Coturnix japonica: one gene and its partner. The protein of the gene in region 1 interacts with the protein of each later gene in a biochemical or structural test. Links are inferred from orthologs where the notes say so. Each region holds a gene or a part of one and is shown in the gene's direction. Other genes may lie near its edges.

Region 1 (15,936 bases):
CTCAATAAACCCAGCTCTGACAACAGCAATGCTCTTGGCTCTGCCTTTGACCACAACAGGTTCTGATACACACTGAGAGCCCATGGAGGGCAGCCCCTTCCCAGTGCGGTTCTGCTCCTCATGGGCGTTCTGAGTGTTTGCATGGTCAGTTCCACCTGGCTTCGCTCACAAGCCAATTCTGAGCTGAAGTGTTCCCCTATAGGAGACACCATGTCACTTCTGGAAGTGCCCTTCTGGAGTGAATAGAATTGGGATCTGATCCTGTCTCCAAGGAGCTGTGATCCCTGGGGCTGGAAGGGGCAGGACCTGTCCAACACAGCCTCCTCATCTGGGCCCAGGAGGTCAGGACACAAAGCAGAGAGCAGTCAGTGCAGGCACAGTAGGGAAGCAGGTGCTGCATGCCGGGGTTGGCCATGAGGAATTCTGCATACATCCATGGGTGTAGTGGTGATGTGGGGGCTGAGCTGGTGTCAGCCGGGCAAGCAGTTGCCTTCCCAGTGGAGGAACATGCCAGGTCTCTTGCAGGCATCTCCCACAAGAGGCTGCCCAAAGCCACAGGGACGTCCTGCACACTGCACTGCACCATCATGTGTGTCTGCTGAAGGGGACCAGGGCCAATATGACACACAGCCAAGGGTGGGCAGGGAGAGATGAGGGGTCCAACTGCGCTGCAGGTTTGACTCAGGGTATGGCAGGACCTTCAAGTTCACAGCTCTCACCATATTCACTCAATCCCATCACTAAACTTGGTGCCCAAGAGCCACATCATCACATCTCCTTAATATCTCCTTCACTGCCCTGCCCTGCACTCGCATGAGCAACCCAAGATCCTTCTGGCAGTGAGGGGCCCAAAACTGAGCCCAGTCTTGGAGATGCAGTCTCAGCAGTGCCATGTACAAGGGGACAGTCACTTCCCTGCTCCTGTTGGCTGCTCTGTTTCCAGCGTAGGTCAGGATGTTGTTGGCCTTCATGCCAATACATCTGCCTCTCCTTCAGCCAGCTGTCAATCAGCACATCTGGCTTCTTTTCCACCATGCTCCTTCCAGCCCCTCTTCCCCAAGCAGGTAACACTGCATGGGGTTGTTATGACCCAAGTGCAGGATGTGGTGCTCCTCCTCATGGAACGGCATGCAATTGGACTTGGGCTGTTGATCCAGGCCATCCACATCCCTCTGCTGAGCCTTCCTACCCTCAAGCACTTTGATGCTGCTGCCCAACTTGGTGCTGTCTTCCCGCTTCCTGAGGGATCTCTCCATCCCCTCATTGAGATCACAGGCTGAAATGTCAAACAAAACTGGCCCCAAGACCGAGACATGGGGAACAGCAACAGGGACTGGCAGCATGGATGGGGGAAAGATGCTCTGCTGGACTCTACTGCCAAGACAATGCACCAGGAGAAGCCAACACGTCTGCACTGTCTGTGACTTCAGCGCTGCTCTTCTGCCCATCAGCCAGTGCCCGTGGCTTTGGACTCAGTGCTGCAAAGCACGAGTGTGCCGAGGGAAATGTTGGTGATGCAGCATTTGCTAGCAAGAAAGGGGAGCAGAAAACAGCAGCTTGTGGCACAATCTGACTGAGACAGACAGGGAAATGGGGACGAGATCAGCCCAGAGAACTTTATGCACGGGTACGGTGTGCAAAGCCCATCTGGATTGTGATGGTGGTGGAGCAGCTCAGTGGAACTCCAGCAGACCCACAGGGCATCGTGTCTCCTTCCCACTTGCTGCATCCAGTCTCCTCACCCAGCACAGCTTCTGCAAAACAGGGCTGCAGCTAGTAATCGATCTAGGGCTCAGGCTTCACAAGAAAGCAAGTTAGTAAATATAAGGCAATGTGACTTCTGCCCTACAGTAAGGCTGGCTACCTGCTGGGAGCATCGTCCTGGACAGCTCAAAGAGCAGGAGAAATTTTACCCATAGCCAAGGGTTTGCGCAAGCCCTGTGTGGGTGTGGTGGAAGTTCAGCATGCTATAAGAAGCACTGGGGCACCGAGCAAACAACGAGAGCTGGAGCAGAGGCAGGAGAAGCAAAATGGGAGAGCTGCGTGTCCGCTCCGTTCTGGTGACTGGGGCCAACAGGGGCATGCGGGCCTGGGCTTCTGGTCCGGGCACTTGCTGGGGGCCACTGCCAAACCCACCTTGAGGTGGGTCTTGCAGAGCTGGCCGGGGGACGAGAAGAGCACGAGGTGAGGCAGCTCGGGCTGGGCTGCGACTGAGGTGGGGGACAGCAGGGCTGGAATGCAGGAGAGGGGAGGTGTGAAGGAATCATGAGATGGACTGAAGGAGCTGGGCCAGCCTGCGGACATGCAGGCAGATGAAGAGCTGGGGATGGATGGCACAGGTAAAAAAAAAGGGAAAAACAGCAAGCTGTGGCAGCACAGTGGCCGCAGGGCTCCTTGGGGGGTTGTGGCAGAGGAGGCCCTGCTTCTACCTAGCTTCTGGCCTTTATCTGGCACTGGTGTACCACAGGGCAGGGGGCAAAGTGTCAGCCGTGCTGAAAAGAGCGTGACATGTGGCTCACATCAGCTGTCTTTGACAGGAGCTGCAGCAATTGCATCCTCCCCTCTGCTTCCCCCTCAATAAACCCAGCTCTGACAACAGCAATGCTCTTGGCTCTGCCTCTGACCACAACAGGTTCTGATGCACACTGCGAGCCCATGGAGGGCAGCCCGTTCCCAGGGTGGTTCCACTCCTCATCTATTTCAGAACAGACTGCTCCCAACCAGAACTACTGACAAATGTCCCCCCAAGTGAGGTGGGCTGCCCAGGGCTGGGGGAAGCACGAGTGAGGTTGGTGTACAGGATGTTTCAAGGAAGGGCTCCACATGGGGGAACAGGTGGTGAGAACTTGAGTAAGACAGAGATGGGGTGAAGAGCTCTCCATCATCATGCATAGGGTGGGGTACAGGAAGAAGATGCTGCCTGTATCCATGAGTGGGCCGGGGCTGCTGGATGCCTATGAAGGCCATCTGAGTGCTTGCACTTCAAGTACCATGTACAAGATACGTGTCCTAGGGCAGGTGGAAGGTCCCTTGGACCACCCTCCATGGACAAGCATCATCAAATCCTCCTCTACCCCCTCACCTCGCTGCCACAGTATGGGAACATGGGGGCTCCCAGCACTCCATGGCACCACCCAATGGAGATCACTTTGGCAGTCACACTGATGATGCTGGCTTCTGCAGCACAGCTCCTGTGTCCCTCTGTCCTCCGCTGCCTAAGAATCAGAGATAAGGAGGAGGTTTGATTCACGATAGCGGATATAGGAATTGGTGAAGTTGGAGAATACCCTCAAGTTCACAACTCCGACCTGATTCACCCAATCCCATCACTAAACTTGGTGCCCAAGAGCCACATCATCACACCTCCTTAATATCAGCTTCACTGCCCTGCTCTGCACTCGCTTGAGCAACCCAGGATCCTTCTGGCAGTGAGGGGCCCAAAAACGAGCCCAGTCTTGGAGATGCAGTCTCAGCAGTGCCATGTACAAGGGGACAGTCAATTCCCTGCTCCTGTTGGCCGCTCTGTTTCCAACGTAGGTCAGAAACTGTTGCTGTCACTTGCTGCCCTGGCCAGCAACTGCACCAGCTCCATTGGCACAGTCTCTTAGGGCATTGTGACTTCTACCCTTCAGTAAGGCTGGCTACTGGCTGGGAGCATCGTTTTGGACAGTTCAAAGAGCAGGAGAAATTGCACCCACAGCCAAGGGTTTGCGCAAGCCCTGTGTGGGTGTGGGTGGGATGGAAGTTCAGCATGCTATAAGAAGCTTTGGAGCACTGAGCAAACAACAAGAGCTGGAGCAGAAGCAGGAGAAGCAAAACGGGGAACAGCACAGTGAAAGTCCAGCAGACCCACGGGGCATCGTGTCTCCTTCCCACCTTCTGCTTCCCATCTCCTCACCCAGCACAGCTTCTGCAGGACTTCTGCTGCTGTTAATCGATTTAGGGCTCAGGCATTACTGAACAGCAAGTTAGTAAATATAAGGCAATGTGACTTCTGCCCTACAGTAAGGCTGGCTACCAGCCAGGAGCATAATGCTGGAAAGATTAGGGCAGGTGAGATTGTACCCAGAATCTGGGTTTTGTGCAAGCCCTGTGTGGGTGTGGTGGAAGTTCAGTATGTGATAAGAAGCCTTGGAGCACCGAGCAAACAACGAGAGCTGGAGCAGAGGCAGGAGAAGCAAAATGGGAGAGCTGCGTGTCCGCTCCGTTCTGGTGACTGCGGTCCCTAAGCAGGGCATCGCCTGGGCTTGTCCACGCAAAACCTGCTGGCACTGCCAAAACCACCTGAGTGGTCTTTGCAGGCTGCCGAGGACCCCATTTGGGAGGGCATGGGGTAGCGGGGGCGCCGGGCGGTCCTCGTTCGTGAGCAAGAGCCGCTGCAGATCAGCTATTTCCGTCTTTGTTAGTTGGGTTTTGGAAAGGGGGGACAGCGAGCACAGGTAGGTGGGTGGCTGAGCTGAGGTGTGGACAGCAGGGCTGGTGCAGCGAGAGGGGAGGGTGAAGGATCATGAGATGGATGAGGAAGCTGCGCTCTGGCGCATCAGAGACATGAGCGCTGGGAGCGATGGGCAACAGGACAAGCTTGCACAGTGCCAGGGCTCCTTGGGTTTGGGCAGGGCTGCTTTCTACTGCTTCTGCCTTTATCTGTCACCTGTGCTACCAACAGCGGCAGGGGGCAAGCTGTCAAGCCGTGCTGAAAGAGTCGTGAACACTGTCGGCCTTTCCACATCAGCTGTCTTTGACAGGAGCGCAGTCAATTGGCCTCCAAGCCGCCAACCGTCATACGTCCCGCCTCGGTACGTGCCACAAGCCGCAGCCCCAAGGCTGGAAGTCCCTCACCTGAGGCTTCCCCGCTCTCTGTGGCTCGCATCTCCACAGCCCTGCTGCAGGGCTCTTCTGTCCACACTGTGGCCTGCTGGCAGAACGATTACGGGCAGCGGCACTCTACTCTCCCCACCTGCGCCTCTGCAGAGTCACCGATGCCCGCAGCATTTAAGGCGGCCGCAGCCAAGCGGTCGGGGGCGCGCTCAAGGCTCGGGGCTCAACTCCTCATCAACAACGCTGGAATCGTAAGGATAAACACAATTGACAGTGAAAACCTGAAGGACATGTCTGAAGTGTACATGACCAACACCATCGCGCTGTCCTGCTGACCAGGTAATGGCTGTCACCTCAGCTCCTTGACATCCCTTTGATGCATCCCTGAGGTTCTTAATGGGAGAAAAATGGGGCCCATGGTACAGTGCCCTCCTCTACTCTCTGCCTGCTGTCTTCTTGCCCTGGTGTTGGGTCCTTTACAATTCAGTCCCCAGTCAGGTCTCTTGCTGTCAGAAGTAGGTGCTGAAATTCAGTCCTGGAAGGCTGAGCCCAACATGCCCTTCCTGGTTGGGGGAGCACCAGGTGACAGGTATAAGAAATTGGCACTTTGAAGCCTGGGGCCATAAGATGAGATGAGAGTGCAGAGGTACGAGCCATACCGGGGTGCAGAGGATCATGACATGAATGAGGGGAACAATAATCTGCACTCTGACTTTGTGCTGAGCACTGGTGGGGCCAATTGCGTCTCCAAGCTGATCACTGAGATTGTCCAGTGTCCCTCCTTGGAGATGCTCAAGAGACATGTGGACATGGTCTTGGGCAATGGCTCTTCATGACTCTGGTTGGGTAGGAGAGGTGCAGAAATGATCTACGGAGACCTCTGCCAGCAACAACTGTCCTCTGATTCTCTACTTCTCTGATATCTCTTCTGCTATGACCTGCAATGGAGGGAAACGTGCCCTTCCAATGAGCTCTCTTGCATGCTTCTCTACCTTCTCCCAACGGCGTTCCTGCCCCCTGTTAAGAGGCAGCCAGGGGACCCAGGATCAGGGTTGAGCTGCAACAAGGCAGCCATCGTCAACATCTCCAGCACTGCTGGATCCATTCAGGACCTCTATCTGTGGCATTACGGACAAGCAGTCTCATATCGTTGCAGTAAGTACAGTCAGTCACTGGTCCCATGCCTGGTCCCAAGCCCAACCACAAAGGGCCATGTCAATACAGGTCCTTTTTGGGACTGGGCATCTGCATGGGAAGACCGTTGTGGGGTCCTTGTGATGCATCTTCTCATCCCCGCCTGATCCCTGTGCTGTCTCCCACAGGCTGCTCTCAACATGCTCACCAGGTGCCAGTCCATGGGCTACCGGGAACACGGCATCCTCTGCATCGCTTTCCATCCCGGATGGGTCAAAACAGACATGGGAGGCGATTTTGAAGATAAGGTAAGAGAGTTTCTGGCCAAGGTTTGGAAGAATCCCTTACTGTGGGAATGTGGAGCTTCCTGTGCATTGAAGGCTCCTGGGCAGGCTGGGCCCTTGGACACACATAGCCATCTTTCTCCTTCTGCCCCTGCAGACCCGCGTGACAGTGGATGAGAGCGTAGGAGGGATGCTGAAGGTGCTCTCCAACCTCTCCGACAAGGACAGCGGCTCCTTCCTGGACTGGGAAGGGAAAGTTATGGCCTGGTGAGATGCTTGCCAAGCCTCAGATTTTAATAGTCATCTCTTTGTTGCTGCATCGAGTTGTGCCTGTGTCTTAAAGAAGCTGTGACTGTAAGCAATGATTGCAGTATACGTGCAGTGCGTGAGCTGCCTTCTTGCTTTTGTTTTAGCTACAATTATCACAGTCTTCCCCAATGCTTTGAGGGAATGGCTGGGTTATTTTGCACATGACTGAGCTATGTTGGATGAACGGCCAGCTTTTGAGTAAGGGCCTGGCTGTCATCCTGGTACAGCTTTGTCCCTGCGCACAGAGGACAAAATCCCTAGTAGTCCCTATATTCCCATGTGTCCTGAAGGGATGCCATCAGGGATACGAGTGCCATATCCTTAGAGCAGAGGCAGGAATTTAAACAACAGAAGGCACACGGAGAGCTCTGCGCTGCACCAGAGGGTCTCCACTTTGAGGAAGTGCCTTTTATTCTATACAAGCCTTCAGCCCATTGAAACACAGAGTCTGCTTTGTCTTAGTGCCCTCTCCCGACAGCTGTGCAGAGCTCACAGCGGACAGCAGCTTTCAGAAGAGAAATTAAAGGTCTCGAGTCTGAGACCTCCACAGGTAACAACACAGACCGAGTCACCAGATGTCCAGTTCCCTGCTGTCACCTTGGGCTGCCCCAGTAGGTTCAGGACCTCAGCTCCATCAGCTCCCTGAGTTGTTCTCCATCCTTAAACCTGCCGTGCTGCGGGAATCCCCCCCGCTTCCAACCCACAGACACATGTACAGGGAGCCAAACCTTTTCCAGTCAGACTGTTGGGGTGTTTATGGTCTGCTGAGCTCCATCCTGGCTGAGGACGGGAAGCGAACAAGCAGAGAGAAGTCTTGTTTGAGGACAACTTTTAAGCGAACTCATTAGTGAACAGGCGCAGTGATGCAGATAGGGGGCAGCAGGACGCTTCTCTGCCTCTGCCCACCAGTTCTTCCTAATTGAGGGTGCACGAGAGGGAAAATAGGAGGCAGAGCCTGGGACAGGCTGCACGCTGCACTGTAGCGTTGCTCCAGCTCCCCTCGTTCACACTTAAAGGATAAAAGCTTCGCCTGAACAGGGGCTTGAACCCTGGACCCTCAGATTAAAAGTCTGATGCTCTCCCAACTGAGCTATCCAGGCTCACGTATGGGCATTTGGGTGATGCTCCAAACGGCCCATTGGGGACCCCACATCACCACCACCAGAAGGGTAATATGGGCATTGCTGTGCTCACACAGACTGAACTCAGAGCTCCAGCCCTGCCACGAGGTCCTGGGGAACATGAGGGGAGCACAACCCAAGGAGAGGGCCGGCAGTGATCATTCCAGGGTCATTTCTCTGCAGCAACCTCAGTTCCAACCCAAAGCACAGCAGCGGGTTTGCAGAGAGCCTGAAGTGTCCCCCTCCGGTGTCACCCGCTGCAGGCGTGCTGTGGGCACTGCCCACACGCCGCTCAGGGACACCAATGGATTTAGCCACCCGTGGGCAGGTCTCTGAGGGTACAAAGTGTCTCCGGCCACCGCAGTGTTCAACAGGGGACGGTACATTTGCAAGGCCGGGCCTTCGTCCCTCCCAGTCCCTCCTCCCCATCCCGGCCAGCCCCTTGCAGCTCTCCCCTCCCCTGCAGCCCGAGCTCCTGGACCTGCCTAAGATATAAAAGCCCGTTTGCTCCCCTTGCTGGAGGGAGCCCAGCCGAGCTGGCCATGGGGAGGACGGGAGCCGGGCTCACGCTGCTGACGCTGCTTCTAGTGCTGCTCCTGCAGCCCACGTCCCAGTTCTGGCTCTTCAACGTGCTCTTTCCACCCACCACCACCCCAGAAGCACCCCCGACCAACAGCACGCCGCCCGTGGTGCTCGGTAAGGTGACAGCTGGGGCACTTTGCCCTGCTCGGGGGGCTCTGCTGATGGAGGGGTAGGGGTTGCAACAGCCTTTGGATTGCAGCTCCGTGCTGCTGCTGCTTCTGTTCCAGTGGGATGGAGACTACCAACTCTTGCTCCCCTGCAGTTTGCCCTGTGCTTTTTGCAGTTAATTCATCCTTTGCTGTTGCAGGGTGTCTGACCCACAGCAGACAACCTTGCCTGGGCTATAGTGAGCTGGTGTGCAGCTTCTCCTTGCATCAGTGGTGCACTGAGAGGTTGGGGCATCAGCTGGGGAGGTGGGGATGGGGAGTTCTGCAGCCTGGCTGGGGTTGTTTGCAAGCTGTCAGCGTGTGGCTGCAATCTGCCTCCCTGTGCCAACACTGGCATAGGATTTTGCCAGACCTGCCCTTAGCAGGGGGGTTATTTTTCACCCTTTTCCTGACTCAGAAGGACTTTCCCTTTTAAAAAGAGAAGAGAAAAAGCAGAACATCCAAAGAATGACCCTATGAACTCCCTTCCCCATGCAGTTCTCGATGCACAGGGCAGCCTGGCATACAGCTTGGCAGAGGCAGCCATGCCCGCATCCTCTGGCACTGTGCGGTTGGATTGGCAGTGGCTGCAGCCTTGGTGGCCAGGAGGCTGTCACTATACCAGGCAGGGGATGGCACAGCACAAGTGACTTTGTGCCACTTCTCAGGATGGCGTGTGACAGCAGGAGCATCTCCACTGCCCTTCTGTGAGCCTGCAGCTTGTTCAGACCCTCAGGAAGCCTCATTCCAAGCACCCCCCGGGACCTCTTTTTCTCCCCATTCCTGCCTCTGCCTCGTGCCCCCATACCAGCCTCAACCCCTGCCCCATGCCCAGCACCCAGAGTGGGGTGTCAGGGTGGTCGAGACAGCATTTGTGTGAAGCCCATCCCCCTGGGTCTGGTATCCCAGAAACCCCCAGTGCCCTTAGGACCAATGATAACCCCTCTGCCCCCACAGGAACTCCCTTAATAATTACCTAGTGTCCTCTCTGAGGTGAGGCAGAGATCAGAACTAAGCACTGGGGTGCTGGCTGTACCAGGGGGAATAGTGAGGCAGGAGGAGGGCACCCAGCCACCCCTGGCACCCTTGGGATGCAACCTCCCACGGGGCTGCCCCATGGCACACAGGGTTACCTGCTGTCCCAGGAACTGCCACCTACTCTGCTTGCTCCAGCTCCCCAACTGAAGCCCGGGCTCTCCTGTGCCAGCATCCTCTCATGGGTGGGTAAGGATGTGCTGATCATCACCCTGTGTTGAAAGAAGGATTAGAACTTACCCATATGCACAGGTCTGAGGGAGCTGTGGAGCAGGCTGAGCAAGGCAGCCAGCATACCCCATATACCCCATTCCACTCTCATGTGCTACAATGCTTCTGCACCCCTGCAAATGCTCTGCCACACCATGGAGCTGTAGCTGTGGCAGGCGGGATCCACTAGAGCATCTCCAGACCAGGCTACCCTTGCATCCTGCTGCAGGGACACTGCTGGGGCTGCCCTTGGCACAGTGGTGGCTGCTGGGTTCAGTTCATACTCAGTGCTCCCACCCCATCAGCCTTGCAGGCACTGAGGTCTCTTTGCTTCTTATCCTTGTCCAGCCCTTTGGGACACACCTCGGACCCTTTGCAGTGGCTGGGAGCAATGACAGCAGTGAGTGTCCACTGTCCTTGCCAGGGAACCACAGGGCAGCTCCCAGAAGCAGAGCCCCGGTCACAAGGCAGGCCATGAACTTGGTTAAAATGGTGTTGTGTTTACTGTATGATATTTGCAGCTAATTCCCACAGGGAACAGTTCGGAATCATTTCAGAGACTTTGTTCAATCTACTCAGAGGGTTTAAAGTTCAGGAAAACAATGTGTGGGTGTTGGGCAGCAGCACACAGACTATTTTCACCCCGGACAGGGGTGCCTCTGCTACCCCTGGATGAACTCATGGGTGTGATGGGTAGAGCATGGCATACGGTGGGGGTGGGAGCACCAACCCCATCCCTGTGGCTGATAATAGGAGCAGAGAAACCCAGCCAAGCTTAGGGAGAAACACTGGGATGCTCCATGCTGGTTATCTCCATTCTCTTGGACCAGCGCTGGGTGAGGGCAGCAGCTTGGTGGTCCCACAGGATGCACTTTTAGCACTATTCCAATGGTTCTATGCCCAACCTGCATCTCCAAGTGCCCAAAAATGTGCTGTGCTTGGTGAGAACCAAGGCATTGGCAGGCTGTTCTCCATGAGTGCTGTTCCAGTGACATCCAGCAGCAACCAACAGCAGGTTCCTGGCTGTCCCTAGCCAGGCAGCCCCAGGGAAGTCTGTGGGTCAAGGAAGCACGAGGCCAGGCAGCTCCACAAACCGAGGTCTACCTGGCTGTAGTTTCCTTCTGTGATGCCCCCAGTGCCCGGGTGTCTTGGGAACCAGCTGGAAGCCAAACTGGACAAGCCGGATGTAGTGAACTGGATGTGCTACCGCAAAACCGAGGACTATTTCACCATCTGGCTTAACCTCAACACATTCCTGCCAGTGGGAGTTGACTGTTGGATCGATAACACCAGGTACCACTCACCCCCATCCCAGGAGCTCCCCAGGTTAATGACCTAGCAGGGATCTCCCTCCCCTCTCCTCCCTCTGTGGCCCTGACCCTGCACACACACTGTCCTTCCTGGACTCTGTGATGTGAACACAGCTCTCATCAGCCCTTTCTGAACACCTTCCCCTTTTGCCCGTCCTCAGCACCTCCTGCCGATGCTGCCAGCCTTCCCTGGGGTAGCGGGGTCAGGATATGACACAGCTGCTGCCTTCTGTCTTGTTCTCTCCGTAGGGTTGTGTACAACCGAACCGCTCGGAAAATGACCAACGCCCCCGGGGTGCACATCCGTGTGCCTGGCTTTGGCAAAACCTATTCTGTGGAGTACCTGGATCAGAGTAAACTGGCAGGTGAGAGGAGCCAGCTTTGTGGAGAGGCACGGGGTATCCAGGGCTGTCGTTCATTGCTTAACAGAAAGGAGTCCCTGTGTCCGTGGGCTTCACCCCATCTCAGTCCTGCAGAGATGATGGAGCCCAGGTCACTTGTGTGCGAAGGATGTTGGCCCCAGGACAATTCCTTCCCAGCCCCAAGTGCCGTGTTATGCCTCCAGGATGCACAGAATTGCAATCTCTGACCAGAGCAGTCAAGATACGGAGCTCAGCAGATGAAATTCCAGCCTGTGATCAAGATAAGAACAGAAAAAGGATAACAGAAGACCAAAGACATAAATCCCATCTGTTCTCTCTCTGCAGGTTACCTGCACACCCTGGTTCAGAACCTGGTGAACAATGGTTACGTGAGGGACCAAACAGTCCGGGCAGCCCCCTATGACTGGAGGGTTGGTCCCCGTAAGTCTGGGGTTGTGGCCATATCACATGTGCAGGGAGGGAGGCAGGATGGTTCCCAGTGAGCAGGTGTGGTGGTTCAGTGTGGTTTGTCATCCCTTGGACAGGGATGGCTGTCTGTGGCTGTGAGTAGCACTCACATGTGAATGTATGCAGTGGCACTTCTGGCATCTGTGCCCACACATCTCTCTGGTTGAGGCTCTTAGTGTCATCCTGGGGCTATGTGAAGCTGACCAACAGCTGGTGTCTCTCTTGTCCTCAGAGGAGCAGCCTGAATACTTCCAGAACCTGAAGGCACTGATAGAGGAGATGCACGATGAGTACCAGCAGCGTGTCTTCCTCATTGGGCACAGCATGGGCAACCTCAATGTCCTCTACTTCCTGCTCCAGCAGAAACAAGCCTGGAAAGATCAGTATATCGGGGGCTTCATCTCACTGGGTGCCCCTTGGGGAGGGTCTGTCAAGCCGTTGCGTGTCCTGGCATCAGGTGAGTGATGAGAGTGGTGAGAGATTCCCTGTGGGCAGAGGCTTCTTCATTTTCTGTCTCTCCTGCAGAAATGGAAGAGTGGCAGTGAGCAGAGACCAGACACTATGGTAGAAGAGCTGGGGGATGGACAGCTGAGGGCTAGGGATGCTCCTTGAAATCAGAACTGCCCATCCTGGGCAAAAGTAATGCCCCAGCCACACATCATGGGGCTAGAAAGGCAGATTGGGCCGTGCTCACTCGCTTCTCACTGCCTCCCCAGACAGCTGCACTACCTCTAGTAGCTGTGAGCTAGATGGACTTTTGCCCTAAGCAGTACAGCCCTTACACAGCTGAGGACATGGAGGTCCCTGTAGGGGCACACACACTGTTCTACATCACTTGCTTGCATCTGCCTGTATCTCAGAGCCCATCCCCCATAAGCTTTTATTGTTCAGGCTTCTAACTTCCTTCACCTAGTTTCTCTTTAGCCTCTTTTCAGTCCAGAAAGCCTAATGCTGACAGCCCAAGTATCTACAGATCACAAGCTGAGCCTCCAAAATGCATGGGATTCATTTAAAAACACATGCTTGCAAATTTTAACATCTGACCACTTGCATCACTCTTAGTCATCAGTTTTTCTCTGTTATCACATGGGCCAGAGACATTGTTTTTAAGGTAACTTCATTGTTGCATGGTCTTAGGACTCCAGACACACTAAAAACACCCAGGCTTGCAGGATAAGTGCAAGGATAAGTGTCCGATCTCAGCTGCCCAAGGGTGTATTTTGGTCTGTCCTGCAGGTGATAATCAGGGCATCCCACTTATGTCCAACATCAAGCTGCGTGAAGAGCAGCGTATGACCACCACCAGCCCCTGGATGTTCCCAACGAGCTTGGCCTGGCCAGAGGACCATGTTTTCATCTCCACACCCTCCTATAATTACACCTACCGGGACTACCAGCGGTTCTTCACCGATGTCAACTTGGAGGATGGTTGGTACATGTGGGAGGACATGAAGGACTTGCTGAAGGGATTACCCCCTCCTGGCGTGGACACATATTGCCTTTATGGCACAGGCTATCCCACAGTGGAGACTTACATATACGATGAGCATTTCCCTTACGAGGACCCCGTGGACATGATTTATGGTGATGGGGATGACACTGTCAACAAACGCAGTTCAGAGCTGTGCAAGCGATGGCGCAACCAGCAAAAGCAGAAAGTGCACGTCCAGGAGCTGCGAGGCATTGACCACCTCAACATGGTCTTCAGCAACCTGACGCTGACCTCCATCAATGAAATACTGCTGGGGAGCACCAAGGTTGGGGCTGGCACCAAGGAGAAAGGAGAGCCTGAGCAGACGGGTGCTCTGAGATCCAGCCCGGAGGTAGGGAGGAAAGGGCACAAAGTCTTTAAGGAGCCCAGAAAGAACTGAAGGAGGTGATGGCCAGCTTCCCTCCGTGCTTGTATCCACCAGAAGCTGGCATGAAGGGGGGAGTAAAGGACTCGGAGCTGGGTATCAATGAGAAGGAGCAAGAACAACAGCTCAGGTGGATGGGCTGGCACCCTCTTCCATTCTGATTGTCTGGGGTTTTTTTGTTGTTGTTGTTGTTTTGGGAGCAGTGATTAATTACACTTCAGAGGCTTGTCACTTCCCACTAGCGGATGGATAATTAACCACACTGCCAGCTCATTAACACCACACTCACGGATTATGGCATGTAAGCAATAGCAAGCTATCTTTAGACACTTTCAGGCCGTGGTGCCAATAGCCTCTTTTTATACAGGCCAGCCTCCATGTAAGCAAGATAGAGCTCGTAGTGCCGGGGCAGCCAAGGTGGGTAATGACAGGAGGATATAGGCACAGCTTGCAGAAGGGCCCCCGTCACACAGGCAACAAGCTGAGCCCCTGCTGCAAGACTGCCTCACAACCAGCAGATCTGCCTAATAAACGTACTTGGCTTCTACACCTCCAGCCTCCTTTGTGCAGCGTCTTCCTACACAAGCGAGGCTGGCTGATAAGCAATGTGCAATGGAAAGCTAAAGGGAGATTTAGTGCAGGTATCAGGGGAAGATGTTCCACTGGGAGGGCGGTGAGGCGCCCCAGGAGCCCTGGTACAACCAGAGCCGTGCTGAGGGCTGGGACCCGGAGCTGTGCCCCCACCCACGGCTGCTCCCACCCACGGACATCCGCCATCTTGCCGCCGCCTCACACAGGGCTGGGCTCGGCCTGGAGGGGCGGTGGGCGGGGCCTCTTTCCACGCTCCACTCCCATTGGCTGTGCGGCCGCAATGCGCGGCGCGGATTGGCTGCGTGAGGCGGCCGGCGGGCGCGGCGGGCGTGAGAGGGCAGCGGGGCCGGAGCGTTGGCCGCGCTGGAGGCGATGGTGCTGGACCCGGGGGCGGCGGGCGGGCAGGGCCGTGCCGGGCTGGGCACGCTGCCGGACCGCGATGGATCCCGGCTGTGCTCGTGTCCCTCTCCGCCGCCTCGCCCGGCGGGGTCCGCTTCGCCCCGTTGCCCGCGGGGGACCCGGCGTTTGTCGGAAACGGGCGCCGGGATGCGGCGGAGCGGCGGGAGGATTCGGGCCGCCGCCTCGTTGCCTCACATCGCGAGGGCCAGGGGCGAGGAGGGCGGCGGGGCCGGGAGGCGCAGCCCCTGCCTGCTCGTAGCGCTGCGGCCGCGGAACGTGGAGGCAGAACGGGAGCGGTTCTTCAGGGAGCGGTTCGCGTACGACCCGCAGTTCGAATACGCCGAGCCCGTGCCCGAGGCTGTGCTGGACAAGTACCGAGACGCGTCGGATCGCTTCGTGGCACAGGTGAGAGCGGGACGACGGGCATGAGGGACCTGAGGGGCCGGGAGGATGCTCGGGGGTGTTAATGTGCAGTGAGGGATGGGGGTAGTTGATTAGAGGCCTTTGCATGGGGCCCGTATGGGGCCTGTATGGGGTCTATAGGGACCTTATGGGGTCTATAGGGACCTTATGGGGTTGTGGGGTCTGTATGGGGTCTATAGGGCCCATATGGGATTGTGGAGCCTGTATGGGGTCTATGGTGCCCATATGGGGTTGTGGGACCTGTTTGGGGTCTATGGGGCCAATATGGGGTAGTGGGGTCTATGGGAAGGTAAGGAAGGTAAGACTCATTGTCATGGAGTGTGGTGATACTACAAGGGGATACAGTTCTAAAGTAGAGATTTAAATGTTAGGAAGAACTTTACTCTGAAGGCAATGAGGCCTTGGTGCATTCTGCCTATAGATGCTATGGATGCTCCATCCATGAAGGTGTCAGGGCTAGGCTGGATGGGGCCCTAGGAAGCCTGATGGATGGGAATGGTCACCCCTGTGGCAGGAGTTGGGGCTGAGTGGGTTTTCATGTCTCTTCCCACCCAACTGGTCTATGATAAGGTTTGATCCATGATCATTATCTTGGCTCTGAGATCAGCAACACCAAGTAAGGTGTTGCTGGCCATCCAGGCTGGAGCCACAGCGTGTGCCATACACAGAGGCACCCCTCTGGCCTGCTCCTTGTTATGTCTGCTGCTGTGTGACCTTGCTTTGCTTGTCATCTTCCAGGCTATTTATTGCTTTGTTTTGTTTTGCTTGTCTAAGCTCTCCTTTAATTACACATTCAACATACGCCTTCTATAGCTGATAAAAGAGTGACTCCTGGGGCTGGATCACACTCAAGCTGCCTACAGACGTGCAGCCATGGCTGGGAGCTGG
Region 2 (15,450 bases), on another chromosome or scaffold:
GAAGCCATCAACTTGCCCTTGGCACAGGGCTCCCTATTACAGGGGAGCAGTGTCCTGGGCACAGGAGGTGCTGTTTTGTTTGGGGACACAGCATGGGTTTGTTGGGAAAGTACTGGCTGGGAACAGAGTGGTGCAGAGGGCGGTGTGGGCATGCCAAGCTGTGTCCCTCAAAGCAGGGGCAGGGCCCTGCTTTTCTGAAGCCTTCCTTGATTTTGTGTTTTTGATTTCTCTCGGGCTTTAATATCCCTGTGGTATTTGTAGCACAAAAGGGAAGAGTAACTCCAGGTTTGGTGGGATTTGAAAGCTGTGCTGGTGCATTTTGAACCAGATCTGGAGCTCGCATCATAACATCTTAGACCAAAACATGCAAAATGATAAGATTTAACAGCGTCAGAAGCTAAAGTTCTGCCCCGGTACTGATGGTGCTAAAACAGGTTACACAAGGGAAAAGGACTTTAGACAACAAGACTTTGTAAATGAGTAAAAAGCAAGTAAATGTTTGCAAGTTGCATTGTGTAAGCACTTCTGACAGGGGCTGTTTGGAGGGCTCGTGTAGTAAACTGTGTTCTGAGCTGCAGCTGCTCGGAGCTTTCCTCCTGGCTTTAATAACCCACTTGGAATCTGGCCTGTGTTACTTCACTTCCAAACAAAGCAGACATGTGAGCAGCCCAAGGTACATTTCCTACAAGTCGATCCTATAAAACCTTGCTCCAAACAACCTGAATGTGCCAGTGCCACTCACTCACCTGTAGCACAGCCCAAGTGTTAGAGGTGCTGAGGGATGGCAGCAGGAGGTTTGTACCCCAGCACTGGCACTCAGGGCTTTCTGCAAGGCTGCTGTTCTCAGACACAGCTTGGGGTTTTCCAGCCATCCCCTCTGTGTTGTGGAGGAGGGACAGCTGAGAGGGCAGATATCTCCTTCCCCCCCAGCTTGTGAAATACACGTTGCTTGAGGGAGGAGTGCAGATTTGCGGGGGCTCAGCGGGATTTATGCCTTCCAAAGAGAGTGCATTGACCCCGCTTTAAAAGCCAGTTGAGCATCAGCCACAGAAGGTAACTGCAGATCATGAGAGTTTCAACCAAATCTGTGGTTAGGGTATGACTAAACCGCATTGGAGCAGCTCAGCTTCAGGCTTGTTCCAACCTGGGGTCGGGAGCGCTGCCCGTGGGAAACCTTTCCCCAGCACTTGGGAGCCGGGTGCCAGCATCACATGCACTGACACAAAGGCTGCCTGGGATGAAAGGGTCCAGAGTGGGGCAGGGGCAAGGGAAGCAGCCTGTGCTCAGGGCTCCTCACTGCTCCCTGCTTCTGGCAATGCCTGCCCCGACCATTCCCACAGTTGGAAGGGCCCCGAGCGCTGCGTGGGCGGCCCTGCACTGCCAGCACTGCCTTACCTCATGTTTTCCTTCTTGCTTTCCGGGAATGCTGACCATTAACTGAGTTTAACCCCACAGATGTGCAGGAGGAAGGAGGCTGGCTGCGTTCCGGCTGCTGGCTGGGCTTTGGGGGCTGGGAGCTCAATGCCTGGCTGCTGGGAAGGATGCTCTAGCAGTGCTGTCTCCATGCTGGGGAGCAGCGTGGGGTGCTCAGGGTATGACAGTCCCAGCCAGTAGTGTCTCACTGCTGGCACAACCAGGGGTTGCTTCCTGCTGACCATTCCATGCAAACCTGATATCTGCTGTTGGGATCCACCTGAGGCCGTGTCACATCAGGGCAGCTCCCAAGGGCCTGTGGCCTCATCCATATGTTTGTGCTCTTTGGGACTGCTCACCAAGAGGGAATTGTTTACGTGCAGCACAGCCTGCAATAGGCTTCTCCATAGCTCAGGACTTTATTCAAAACATCGTGTACTTAATGACGATAGGTTCTGCTGGATAGGAATGTAGCCTTTACCCTCGGTCATAAGAGCTTGCGGTGCAGATGGACTTTGCCAGGCAGAATGCTCTTGTACTCCTACGGCCAGATTGGAGGAGGGCAGGGAGAAGTCATCTGATAACAACTACTATCCTAGCAGCTTTTCCAGCCAGATCTGTTGCATACAATTACCAAGGGGCCCTGCTAAGAACATCCTGTGTCGGAGGTGGGGGGGACCCTTCTCCTTCTCTTGTGTAATGTGAGCAATGCATGGAGGAGGGTGCAGGGCTGGAGGGGAGGCAGATGGAGGCTGCTGCAGGAGCAGGGAGGCCTGTGGGCCATGCAGAGAGCCCCAGTGCTGCAGCGTTTGAGCCAGAGCAGCCAGCAAGCTGCAAGTGACACTGGCTTGTGCTGCGGTGCCATGTGTTGCCAAGAGCAACTGGTTCCTTGTGCTAATGTGATGCTTTTCTGTTTCATCTGATTTCAAGAGTCCGTCGTAGGGAACTGTATGGACAGGAGCTCCCCGGGCCAAGCCATGCAGGTGCCTGACCACAACGGGCTGGGCTACCCAGCACGGCCAGCATCCAGCGAGCACCCGCGGCCCCGCACCCTGCAGAGACATCACACCATCCAGAACAGTGATGATGCCTACGTAAGTGGGAAGAGTCCTGTGCCCAGCAGCTTTGGGTTATGGAAGAGGTACCACAAAAGAAAGGCAGCACCCTGCTCTGCAGGGCTGCTAGGGATGAATTGCTGTTGGGACTCAGCAGTCAGCACCCCCATTTTGCTTAATCCTGAAAGCATTTTAGCAGAGACCAATGTGGAATTTCTCCTCTGCTCATGTGTTGCCTGATTTGTCCCAGTGCTGGCTGTGTTATTCCTTTTGTCCCCAGGGTGTTTCTGATGAAACTATTTGCACTGCCCCAGGCTTGGCTCTGGCTGCAGTAGTTTTACAGATGCACAGAGCCCAGCTTTCAGCTCTGCAGTGTGCTCAGTGACCTGGGCCACGCCAAGAGCAAAGAGCAGCTGCTCTGCTTTCTGCATTTTGGACCTCTCAGAACAATCAGACCCAGATTGTGGCATGTTTCTTGCTACAGCTTCCTACTGCTGTAGAGCAGAGCTTTTCCCTAACTATTGATAGTATAATATAAGTCTATAAGGGGGTTGAGTTGTCCATTCGTTCCATATTGAGGTGACATTGGCTGTACCTACACTGTCCCTGATGTGTACTCTTGTACTCTGAAGCCTTTGCTGAAGGCTGGCAGAAACTCCCTGTGCAGCTGTCAGAGATAGCCAGGGAAGCTGCTTGCAGGTGCCTGGCTCTGGTCCCACTTTGATTTGTGTCTCCTCAGGTGCAGTTAGATAACCTGCCTGGGATGAGCTTAATGGCTGGAAAAGCACTCAGCTCTGCTCGGATGTCTGATGCCGTCCTCAGCCAGTCGTCGCTCATGGCCAGCCAACAGCTGCGTGACAGGGAGAGTGAGGGTAAGGACCTGGCCAGCTGCAGACATGGCGTGGGCACTGCATGGGGGTAAGGAGCTGTAAGGACCTGCATTGTTCTGACAGCCTGCATTGCAAAGCCACCTCGGCTGCCAGTGAGCTCTGCAGGGATGGAAGGGTTAGCTGTCACCTGTGGGATCAAAGCCTCCTCAATGCTGTTTGCATGAACTGAATTAAAGAGAGTCTCTTGGATTTCTCACTGCACTTGAGGCTTGGGTGCCGCAGCCATCTCCAGCTCTAACATGTTTTGGGTACAAACCTGTGACAGTCTGTAGAGCTCTGTGCTTGGGTGCTGCTGAGCTTGTGACAGCAGTGAACTGGGCTTCCTGCTGGCCTGAGCCACCTGCAGAAGCTGCAGCTCCTCAGTGCTCCTAATGCAAACCCTGATGTTCTTTGATGTTACAGAATGCGGAGAAAGTTTGGAAGGTCAAGAGCATCCCAACCTAGGTGATGGCAACCAGCATCTAAACACCTCTTGTTACCCATCGACATGTATCACAGATGTCCTACTGAGCTACAAGCACCCGGAGGTGCCCTTTGGGATGGAGCAGGCAGGGGTGTAACCAGGAGGGAGTGAGTATCGGTGTCCTCCTTTTCTCTTCAGCTGCACATCTGGGCTCTCCTGGATGGCAGCTCTGAAGCTGCCTGACTTTGTCCATCTCCTTCCCCACCCTTTTGCTCTAGCATTGGTTCAGGGCTGGAGGAGAGACCCTCAGCTCTGAGCTCCTTCTGTTGGATGTCCCTTCTGTGTGCTCAGGGCCCTCTTTTGTGCCTTTGCTGTCCTTCCAGAGCCATGTTTTGTTGGTGTGGGCTCTGCTCTGGGCTCTGCCCTGCGGGTTTGGGCTGGGAATGGGCTGTGGGAGCAGGATTGCTGTTCTCTGGTATCTCCTAACACATCTCTGCTTCTCTCTGTTTCAGGTTTTATGTACAGCTTTGAAATGAAAAAGGTCCATTTTAAACCAACAGTATCTAGCAGCATTGCGCCAAATTGCCGTAGTATTTCTGACTAACTGGAATACCATGGCCCCTTTCCTCATAATCACTTCATCCAGTGTGTTGTTCCTTTGGTTCCTTTAATTTTTATATATATATATATATTTTTTGCCGTATTTGCCTGTAACTCCCAGCTATCACCGAAAGAACCGGAGAACCCCAAATCCTACACGTCAGCGGAGCCCCGAGCACTGAGCCTGGTCTGGAGGGCTGCGAGCATCCAGGGTAGGGGGCTGGCACTCAGAGCAGAGCCCACGGAGCCTGCAAGGCAGGCAGGAACCTGCAGCGCATCCCTGCCCCCCTCTGCTGGCTCCTGAGCAGGGCGCAGTGCCCACCCCCCTCCCCGCAGCGCTCACCTCCCGCCTGCCTGCAGAGCGCCTGCCCTGGTGCAATATGTCTCATCTCTGTCTGCTTTCGTTCCTCACTTTGGCACTGTGCTAAACAGGATCACTTCTATCCCTTCCCCAAAACCAAAACCCCCTTTTTTTGGATGTTTTTCATTTCTAACCCCCCACGTGATTTTCTTCTTTTCCTCCTTGGCTTAATGTAGGGAAGACAGATTTTCCCCCTTTCTTTTCGGAGCTTTTCCTCCCGATCATCAAGGAATCCTTTTTATTTTGGGAAATGTTGTTTTATTATTATTGTTATTAATAAAAGGCAAAAGGAATTTCTGTTTGAGAGACCTTTTTACCTGGATTCTGTTCTTACACCCATTGTGACTTGCACTTTTGTTCCGAGTGTTTGCTTTCTTTTCATGCCGTTGTAATTGTGACTTGGTTTTTCTTCTCTTGTGCCCGTGGCAAATTGGTGTCCTCCTCTACGCGGTTCAGATACGCAGAGATCTCTTCTCTGTTCTTCTTTTTGCTCTTTCCTTGGCTGAGAGAAAGCAAAGCCTCCCCTTTCCCTCCCCCTCCATCATCCAGGCTATGGGGAGAGCTTGGCGTCACCGTCACCCTTTGGGACTTTTGAAGCTCCACCTGGAAATTCTTCTTAATGACACTTTTGGAATATTTAAGACATAGATATCTAATAATAATAAAAGGATTGACCCAGACCTCCTGAATTTTGCACAGAAGGAAGTGTGAAACCAGCATGGCAGAGCTACATTCGCTATGGGCTACCAATGCCTCCCCCCATATCCCCATCCCTTGGTCCCCAGGAAAGTGATGCTCAATGCAGTCTGGAGAGCTGGAGAGGAGGAAAAGCCCACAGCACCGAGCTGAAGCTGGTGATATGGGAGGGAAGGGGCTGGGAGGCACCAGGAGGCACCAAAAACCTTTTTGCTCTGTACCTTTGGTTTGTTTTCCTTTCATTTACACTGTTTATTCCTGGGAGAGGTGGCCGCCCTACAGTCAGCACCCAGCGGGGGGACTTCGCTTCTAACCGTGCCATTTCGACGTATCACCTTTGGGTTTTGGGTTTGGTTTCTTTTCATCATGGCTTTGTATTGCAGTAATCGATACGCGCAGTGTATGTTGAATGTAGATGAAAATACTTTGCTATTCTTTCTGGGTTTTTGGAAATGTCAGAAGTTATTATTTTTCCCCCTTCATTTATGTCAGACTAAAAATTAAGATATATAAAAAAAAAAAAAAGAGGAAAAACCCGAAGTTTTGGTAAATCTTCAGTCCATTTTTTTGGTTGGGTGTTATTTTTTTTGGGGGGGTGGGGGTTGATTTCTTTTGGCGGGTCACTTGCAACGCGTCGATTGGTCGGACGGTGGGATCATGGCAAATAAAACCATGCTGGTGATCTTCCCTGGCTTCTCTGTTTGCCTTGTTGCTCAATGCCGGGGGTGGATGGGGGCCACAGGGCTGCCCAGCAGAGCAGCATGTGCTGTGCTGACCCCATAGGTCACCAAACCACCCCATCGGGTGCACCCTGCCAAAGCCCGGCTTCCCTCTGAGCCCTGATGGGAAAGACCTTGAGCTGCAGCCGGGGGAGGAGGGCTGGGAGAGAGGAGCTGCTCCTGGTGGTGGGCTGAGGGGCTGGGGGTGTGGATGTGGGCACAGCAAGTGTGTGCGGGGCTGCACCAGAGCTGAGAGTGTCACTGCTCAATGAGCAGCTGCCCCGTGGCATTAACCAACCCAACCAACCCAACCCCAACCAGCCCAACACTAACGAACCCAACCCTAACTAACCAAGACATTAACTAGGCCAACACTAGCCAACCCAGCACTAACTAACTCAATACTAACCAGCCCAACACTAACGAACCCAACCCTAACCAACCAAGCCATTAACCAGCCCAACACTAACCAACCAAGCCATTAACCAGCCCAACACTAACCAGCCCAGCCATTAACCAGCCTACCCACTACCCAACCTGTCCACTACCCAATGCATCTGTTAACCAACCTATCCACTAATCCACCCATCCACTAACCAGCCAAGCCATTAACCACCCCATCCACTAACCGGTGTATCCACTAACCAACCCACCCACTAACCAGCCCATCTGTTTGTGCCCGTGGGACCTGGGGGCCATGCCCATGTCTGTGTCCCCAACTCAGCCTCCTTCGGGCTCAGCCCTGGTGCTGGTGGGACAATGTTCATGTGATGTGGGGTGGCCGTGCTGCAGATGCTGTTTGCTCTGTGCTGAGCCTGTGCCCCACCGCCCGGCTCCGTGTTGACAGCAGCGGGCACACAGCAGCCTCAGGGCACCGCTCGGTCCCTCCGCTTTGGGGGCACGGCGGGACGCGGGCAGGGTGTTGTGGGGGGGGGTCTCCATCTATGGGAAGGATGCGGGGGGGACTCACGGGGGTGACGGGAGGAGAACGAAGGGTTGGGGTCCGGGCGGCCAAATCCCTGCGGGTATAAACCCGGTGCCCGGGCTCTTGGCCAATCCCCGGGGGCTGCCTGGAATCTGGGTCACCCGCAGCGTAAACATCTCCTTGGCCAACTCCGCATCCCCAGGGAGCTCCTGTTTGCTCGAGGCTCTGCCAGACCGGCGCTCCTTGGCTCTCTGTCCCGGGCCGTGCACACGATCCTTGAACTCTACGCGCCACATCGGCCGCGTCGGGGAGTGATTTCTTGGGCTGCAGCGCTGCCTTATCTCCTGCGGGAACTGCCCCTCCTGCATAAATAGCGGCGGTGGGGAAGCTGCGGGCTCACACGGGACGAGCAGAGCGGAGCAGCGTCAGGACAGAGCCGGTAAGAGCCCGAGCTGTGAGCCGGGACCCCCCTTCCCACCCCGCAGCACCGGGCTCGGAGCCGGTCCTGCTCAGGGCTTCCTTGAGCCCAACTTCTCGCTCTGCCCTCAGGTTCAGCCCGAAGATGAGAGGCGTGCTGGTGACCCTCGCTGTGCTCTTCTTGACGGGTACGTCCCAACAGGGCTGAGCCCCTTGTGGGCGATGCAGAGCGCGATCCCGAAGCGCTCCGTGCAATTAAACCGCAGCCAAGCGCTCCCCGGAGCCTGCAGCGCCCCATCGGTGGGGCTCCGACCCACAGCTCCCGGGCACGGCAGTGCAGTGGGATCCCCCCCATCTGCCCGTCCCCAACGCTCTGTCTGTCCCTGCAGGCACCCAGGCCCGCTCCTTCTGGCAGCACGATGACCCCCAGACACCCCTGGACCGCATTCGGGATATGTTGGACGTCTACCTGGAGACGGTGAAGGCCAGTGGCAAGGATGCCATCTCCCAGTTCGAGTCCTCTGCTGTGGGCAAACAGCTTGAGTAAGTGGGGAGATGCGTGGTGCTGTCCCTGTCTCCATGTCCCCATGTCCCCATATCTCCATATCCCCATATCCCCCTATCCCACTATCCCCATGTCCCTATGTGCTGTGTTCCCATGTCCCAATGTCCCCACGTCCCCATCTCTCCATGTTTCCACATCCTGTGGCTCTATGTTCCCACATCCCCACGTCCCCACCCCACATCTGACCCCGTACTGCTCTCCCCAGCCTGAAGCTGGCTGACAACCTGGACACGCTGAGTGCTGCAGCTGCCAAACTGCGTGAGGACATGACTCCCTACTACAGGGAGGTGCGCGAGATGTGGCTGAAGGACACTGAAGCTCTTCGTGCTGAGCTGACCAAGGACCTGGAAGAGGTGAAGGAGAAGATCCGACCCTTCCTGGACCAGTTCTCTGCCAAGTGGACCGAGGAGGTGGAGCAGTACCGCCAGCGCCTGGCGCCCGTGGCTCAGGAGCTGAAGGATCTGACCAAGCAGAAGGTGGAGCTGATGCAGGCCAAGCTGACCCCAGTGGCCGAGGAGGTTCGGGATCGTCTGCGTGAGCAAGTGGAGGAGCTGCGCAAGAACCTGGCGCCGTACAGCAGCGAGTTGAGGCAGAAGCTGAGCCAGAAGCTGGAGGAGATCCGTGAGAGGGGCATCCCTCAGGCTTCCGAGTACCAGGCCAAGGTGGTGGAGCAGCTCAGCAACCTGCGTGAGAAGATGACGCCTCTGGTGCAGGAATTCAAGGAGCGCCTCACCCCCTATGCTGAGAACCTCAAGAACCGCTTGATCGACCTCCTGGATGAAGTCCAGAAGACCATGGCCTGAGCTGCTGGCCCAGGGACTGAGCCCAGGCCATGCCGGCCCCCAGGAGACCCCTCCTTACCCTCCTCTATCTCCCACCCCCACCCCGACCCGGAGTCCGTCTCAGCTTTGCCATTCTTTTGTCAAATAAACGTGACTTAAGTTATTGGAGCTCACTCAGTCTTTGCAGTGGATGCTGGGGATCTAAGCCATAAGTGGGGATGGGCCCTTTGGCACCCCCTTAGGGTGGGAGGCTGCAGGGTGGGGAGCTGGGTTAGTGTTGGCTTAGGGTTTGCTGATGCCCATAGTGCCAGTCCCAGCTCTGCTCAGGATGTGGTCACAGTGATGCTGGGCTGGGAGCTCCCCATGTGCCACCAGCTTTGTGCTGAGCACCTCAAGAACACAACCCTGGGCTGGGGGTCAGCTGGGTGTCAGATGGACACCATGCTCACATTGGGGTTACACACCCCATCACCACCCCACACACATGGTGCAGCGCTGTGCTCAGCACCCCAGCCCTCCTCCATTACACCCCCCCCCCAACAACACCGCAGGGACAGAAGCCATCTCACTCCAGCTCCACTTTATTGCAAGAACCACAACAGAAAGGAAATGTTGTGTTGATGAATATGATTTAGTCGGGAAGTATTGGGAATGGTTGGACTAGATGATCTTCTAGGTCTTTTCCAACCTTGATAATTCTGTGATTCTGTGAAATGCTGCTGTGTATGGGATGGGGAGCAGGACCCCCCACCAGCCCACAGCCGGGCTATGCGCTTGGTGTCTGCTTCAAGAGCGCGGTCACCTGCTCCCTCAGCTGCGCCAGCTGCTGCTTCACCACGTTGGTGTTGTCTGACAGCCATGTCCTGCAAAGGGACCACATCAGAGCAGGGTCTCAGCTCCGCTCCCCCTGACCCGTGCCATCCCTATCACCAGGGGCACACTGGGGGTCACTGGGGTACGAGGTGCTGGTGGGGGCACACGGCCTCACCTGGCTTGCTGAGCTGCATCTGACTCACGCATTATGGTCATGGCAGTCTTGACTGCCTCGGTGGCTTCCTTGATGAGCTCCTGCATCTTCTTCATCACCGCCTCTTTCTTATCGGGAGCATCAGCCCCTGCAAAGCACACAGAGCGTGGGCATGGTGCACCCCAAACCCCCACTGACCCCTCACTCCCCATCACCCTTACGTGCTCCCACTGCCAGGATGGCCACAAAGGTGAACAGGAGTAGGATGGAGACCCTCATGGCTGGGGAGAGAGCAGAGCACATGGTGTGGGGTCAGATGTGACTCCCAGACCCATCCCCTGGATCCCTGGTGTTGGTCCCGGTCCTGGGGGCCCCGCACTCACCTGGCTACGCTGTGCTTTGCCTCCGCGCAGTGGGGGCTGCTCTGAGTTCCCATTATATACCCTCCCCAGAGGCCGCATGTTCAAAGGTCAGTGGTGGTGCGACCGCAGGCAGGGTGCCCATTCCCGAATCCCTTTCCCCGCTGCCAGCTTTTATTTGGATGGGCTCCTCTGCTCCCCCAGAAGGGGTTGAGAAATCCCCAAGGGCCAAGGCCGGGGGCTGTGCATGCGTGTCTGCACACACGTGTGAGGGGTGGGGGCGGCTGCGGGGCACATACAGCACAAGGGTGACATCCAGTGGCACCCACTGCAAGCCAAGCATGGGATGCTGCGGGGTGGTGGGCTGCAAAAGCAGGGGGGTGGGTGGCAGTGCCAAGCTGCGTCCTCAACTCCAAACACCCCGAGATGGGGTCACAGCCATGTCTCCCCACACCTCCCCATCACCCTGTCGGCAACACCATGCACCCCATGGCACGTCTCCTCCTGCTCCATCTCCATCCTGCTCCGATAGAGTCCCAGCCCCACGTGCCCCCTGCCCTCTGCAGGCCATACCCACTCCCCCTGGCAGTGTTGCCCCCTGGCACCCCGCCGGGCTCCGCGGTGATCTCAGCTCTGCGCTCACGTCAGGCGCTTCCACGTCGCGACCTTGCTAAAGTCCAAGCTGCGGTGCGGGGCTGCGTGGAACCCGGCGTGGCTGCTCAGGTGCATAAATAGCGGCGGGTGCTGCTGCACGGCAGGAACCACAGCACACAGCAGAGCACAGAGCATCGCTGGCAGCACTCAGGATGTCGCTGAAAGGGGCCGCCTTCCTCTTGCTGCTCCTGGTTGTGGCAGGTGAGGCAGCTCCCATCCCATTGGGGGTGGTGGGGCTGAGATGTGGCTGTGCCTTGGGGTGGGATGGAGGTAGATCTGACCTCATATCTCTGTGCCTGCAGGGACACGGGCCGATGTCAGCCCTGACCAGGTGGCCACTGTGATCTGGAAGTACTTCACCGAGCTGGGCAGCAATGCCAAGGAGACCGCGGACCAACTGCAGCAAGCTGAGATCACCAAGCAGCTCAAGTGAGTGCAGGGACCACCGAGGGCTGTGGGCATGGGAGGGCACAGGGTGCTGGGAGATGGGAATTGGACGCAGGGCACCCAGCAATGGGTGCTGGGTGCTGGACACAGGGCACTGACTGCCCGCTCTCCACAGCACCCTGCTGCAGAGCAACCTGCAGAGCATGAACTCCTACGCCAAGGAGCTGCAGCGGAGCCTGGTGCCCTTTGCCACGGAGCTGCAGGCACAGCTGGTGCAGGACTCGCAGCGGCTGAAGGAGCAGATCCAACGCGAGCTGGCCGAGCTGCAGGCCAAGCTGGCTCCCTATGCTGACGAGGTGCACCAGCAGATCGGCACCAACATCCGTGAGCTGCAGGCCAAGCTCAGCCCATACGCCGATGAGCTGCGCTCGCAGGTGGACCGCGGCACCGGGGAGCTGAGGAAGGCGCTGGAGCCCTTTGCCACCGAGCTGAGGGAGAGGCTGCAGGACAACGCAGGCAGCATCCAGGCCTCTCTGGGCTCCTTCTCTGAGCGGCTGCAGCAGAAGATTGACAGCAGCGTGGAGGGGCTGAAGGGGCAGCTGACACCCCTGGCTGATGATCTGAAGGAGCAGGTGGCACAGAGCGTGGAGGGGCTGCGCAAGGGGCTCAGCCCTTATGCCCAGGAGGTGCAGGACGGCCTGAACCGGCAGCTGGAGAGTCTCACCATGCAGATGGAGCGGGTGGCCGAGGAGCTGCGCTCCCGCCTGGCTGCCAGCTCGGAGGAGATGCGTGCCCAGCTCAGCTCGCAGGCCCAGGAGCTGCAGCAGGCGCTGGGTGGAGATGCTGAGGCCGTGAGGCAGAGGCTGAACCTGCTGGCACAGCAGCTGGATGAACGCCTGGTGCAGACGGTGGAGGCGTTCCGGCAGCAAGTGGCCCCCACCAGCGAGACCTTTGGGCAGCAGCTGGTGAAGAGGCTGGAGGAGATGAAGCAGAAGCTGGAATCGGGCACTGCAGGTGTGGAGGATCACCTGGACCTCCTGGAGAAGGAAGTGAAGGAGAAGGTGGCCACCTTCCTCAGCACCATGGAGCAGGCAGAGAGCTGAGCCCTCCCTGCCATTCAGAGCACTCACAGCTTCTCCCTATGGCAGAAATAAACTGGCACTTTGTGATGCACCCTGTGGTCCGTGTCTGTCCTTCTGCATCCATCCTGGCCTATGGGTGACCCCCAAATTTGGGTCCCAGGGAGCCCGAAATGGAGCATGGGATGTCACTGTATCATGGTCTCAGTGGTACATGGGCTCCCCTGGGGCTCTGGTGGGGAAGGCATAAACCTGAGCACCCCACTCCCCATGGCCGGGCCTCAGCAGAACCCCAACCCTGGCAGGTGCTCTGCAGCTCTGCACTGCCCTGCTCCAGCCCATTGCCCCCAGCAGGATCCCAGCTCCTGGCCCCAGAGCCCATTAAGGATGGGCGATATGAGATGGGGTGCTGCACATTGGCAGAGTACCCCCAGAGGTGACCCCACATGCAGAGGTGTTTGCACAGAGAAGGGAACAAGGCTGCACTTTGGCCCCCAGCCCCAGCCCCATCCGGATGGAGGCGGCCCTGGAGGTGCCTGGTCCCAGCAGGTCTGCTCCTGCCCCTGTTTGCTGGGTTGCTTTAGAGCAAACATTTCAAAGCCCGGGGTCAGCAGTCAGGCAGGAGCAGCCCCACAGCAGCCCATGCAATGGGCACCCTTATGTACAAAAAGAGGTACAAGAGCTGCACAAGAGCACTGGGGTGAAAGAAATACACAAAACCACTGAGCCTTTGGCATTCTATAGGGAAGTAGCTGCTCACAATTTGCAGACAACCAGCCCACATCCCATGGGGCACTCTCTGGTCCGGGCACTCCCTGCTCTGCTCTCCCATTTCCCACACAACAGACCCCTCATCCCATGCACAAGGATTTTGCTCCACGATACAAAGGTCAGATGGGAGCGAAGGTCAGCTCCATCCCGAGAAATCCACAGAGCAAACAGTGAGGGCCCATTTATCACTGGAACAACAAAAAACACGAACAATCTGCCCGCTGGGAGATGCTGGCGGAGCAGGGAGGGCTCACTGCAGCCCTGGGGGTTAAGGTCAGGCTGGATGACCACGGTCTGGCTGGTGCAGGGCACGTGCAGCAGTCAGGTGATGGGCATTCACGTCATCCCCCAGGCACGCTGCTGAACCTCCACGTTGTATTTACATGGAGTGAGGTCCAAAAAGCCTTCCCCTGTGGATGCGCTTATCTCAGAGCTCTTCTGCCGCCCGCAGATGGGTTATATAAAGTGAGCCCGTGCCTGGCTGCAGCAAGAGGTGAGAGCAGCCAGGTGCAGGGCAGAGGTGCAGCCTCGCTGTGCTCCCTGTGCTGGGGACACTTTGGCCTCTGGCAGAACGTGTCTGACCTTGCTGGGCAGCCCCACTCAGGAGCAGTACTACTCCAGACCCCAGAAGCGAGGTAAAATTGGGGAGTGAAATACAGGGATGGATAATGGCCCACGGGACAGAGACCTGCACTGCGGCATGAATTAACGCTCCCCTTCTCTCTTTCTCTTGCAGAGTTGCAGCTCGCTGGCCCAGCAGATCATGTCGTTGAAGGCTGCACTTCTGCTCACCCTCCTGGCCACCCTGCCAGGTTGGTGTCTGTGTAGCTCCAGGCTGCCCAGTGGCACAGAGATGGGGTGGAAAAGGGGTATGGGGGAGCAGAGGCGGCCACTACTCACATGGCACAGCTGCTCTGGCCCCGTGATGGGTTTCTAAGTCCCCTTGAACCAATGCCATGATCACTGTGTGCCAACCTGTCCCCATCCTCCTGCCACCTGGTGACTCAGAGTGATTCATCAGTGGGGCAGGTGGTGGCTGCTGTGGGCACAGGGGTCGTGCAGGAGCACAAAGCCCTGCTGGCTGCATCCCTCAGCCACTTCAGGGCTGGCTTCCCAGGTGACACAGAACTGGTAGAACATGATGAAGCCCAACAGCATCCCCACCCCAAACCCACATTCAACCACCCCAACTGTTCTGTTTCCCTTTGCTCTGTATCTCCTGGTCTGTGGGCTGCTCCAGTAATAACCACTGCCCTTCTCCTTGCAGTGTCACCAGCCGAGCTGGCACGGAGTGGCTTCTGGGAGTACCTCAGCCAGCTGACAAGTGACAAGGACAGCCTAGAGCAGGCACAGGGCAGCAAGCTGGGCAGGGAGTTCACGTGAGTATCCTGCTCCTGGGGCTCACAACCCACTGAGTGGAGCTGGATGTCAACCTCGTGCCCGTCCCGTCAGTCAGTGGTGCTTTATTAACCGTGTCTGCTGTCCTGTACAGAAACCTGAAGGAAAGCCTCCAGGACAGGGGCAGCAACGTGGGGAACTTCCTTGAGAAGTTGGCACCTCTCAACAGAGGCATCCAGCCCCGGCTGTACCACGACTCCGACAGCCTGAGGAAGCTCATCAGGAAAGAGCTGGACAGCCTGAGAGTGAAACTGTCCCCTTACGTGGACGACGTGCACCACAGAGTGGGCAAACACCTGGAAGACCTGCGCTATCAGCTGCAGCCCTTCACCGAGGAGCTGCTGGACCAGGTGTCCCTCCGTGCACGGGAGCTGCAGCGACACCTGACGCCCAGCCGAGACGTGGCAGCTCAACTGCTGGACGGCGTGGACGAAGTGCAGCGTTTCATGGCTCATTACGCCGATAAAATCGCCTTCCACACGGACCAGGTGAAGGACATCTTCCAACCTTACGCTGACAGGTTACTGAGCGAGATCCAGCGCTCAGTGGAGGAGCTCCACAGGAACGTGGTCCCGCACAGCCCCGCCAGCCCCGAGCAGCTCAACCAACACATCGGTGAGTTATCAGCCAAACTAACCCAGAACGCCCGGGATCTGCACCGCAACATCCAGCGCAACCTGGAGCAGCTGAAAGCCAAACTCAGCCTACACCCGGGGGAGCACCATGAGGAGATGGCCAGCGAGGTGCAGCAACGCATCGAGGAGTTCCGAAGGGAAACGTATCGACAGATCCAGGACTTCACTCGTGCCGTGCACCAGGAGACGGAGGACATGAGGCTCAAGCTGTCGGCTCGGCCTCAATATCTAGAGGAGGCTGCGGGCAGCCCGGCCCCGCTGGAGGATCTAAGGGCCAGTCTGGACGCGCTGTGGCGAGATCTGGCGTATAGTCTGAGCGAGCGTGGAGGAGAAGCGGCGTGATGGCTGGGTACGGGGAGCGGACACAATAAAGC

The links.
Region 2: the proteins of LCAT (region 1) and APOA1 form a complex in vitro, tested with the Homo sapiens proteins (6 studies listed by BioGRID and IntAct, with this or other methods). The link is inferred for Coturnix japonica from reciprocal best matches to the Homo sapiens genes LCAT and APOA1.

The regions. Positions count from the first base shown.
Region 1 is NC_029526.1:1,504,060-1,519,995, forward strand, and holds LCAT (phosphatidylcholine-sterol acyltransferase), read left to right. Parts: upstream 1-8,159; 5' UTR 8,160-8,208; coding exon 8,209-8,362; intron 8,363-10,775; coding exon 10,776-10,932; intron 10,933-11,198; coding exon 11,199-11,314; intron 11,315-11,656; coding exon 11,657-11,752; intron 11,753-12,011; coding exon 12,012-12,236; intron 12,237-13,015; coding exon 13,016-13,650; 3' UTR 13,651-14,184; downstream 14,185-15,936. Other genes in the region: C-factor-like, read left to right, coding at 6,141-6,260, 6,394-6,507; KIAA0895L (uncharacterized protein KIAA0895-like homolog), read left to right, coding at 14,599-15,030. UniProt on the Homo sapiens protein: Central enzyme in the extracellular metabolism of plasma lipoproteins.
Region 2 is NC_029539.1:4,409,737-4,425,186, reverse strand, and holds APOA1 (apolipoprotein A-I), read left to right. Parts: upstream 1-7,296; 5' UTR 7,297-7,501; intron 7,502-7,611; 5' UTR 7,612-7,624; coding exon 7,625-7,667; intron 7,668-7,868; coding exon 7,869-8,022; intron 8,023-8,249; coding exon 8,250-8,847; 3' UTR 8,848-8,999; downstream 9,000-15,450. Other genes in the region: serine/threonine-protein kinase SIK3, read left to right, coding at 2,344-2,507, 3,208-3,340, 3,761-3,918; APOA4 (apolipoprotein A-IV), read left to right, coding at 10,959-11,007, 11,109-11,235, 11,369-12,296; APOA5 (apolipoprotein A-V), read left to right, coding at 13,807-13,855, 14,311-14,422, 14,536-15,418. UniProt on the Homo sapiens protein: Participates in the reverse transport of cholesterol from tissues to the liver for excretion by promoting cholesterol efflux from tissues and by acting as a cofactor for the lecithin cholesterol acyltransferase (LCAT).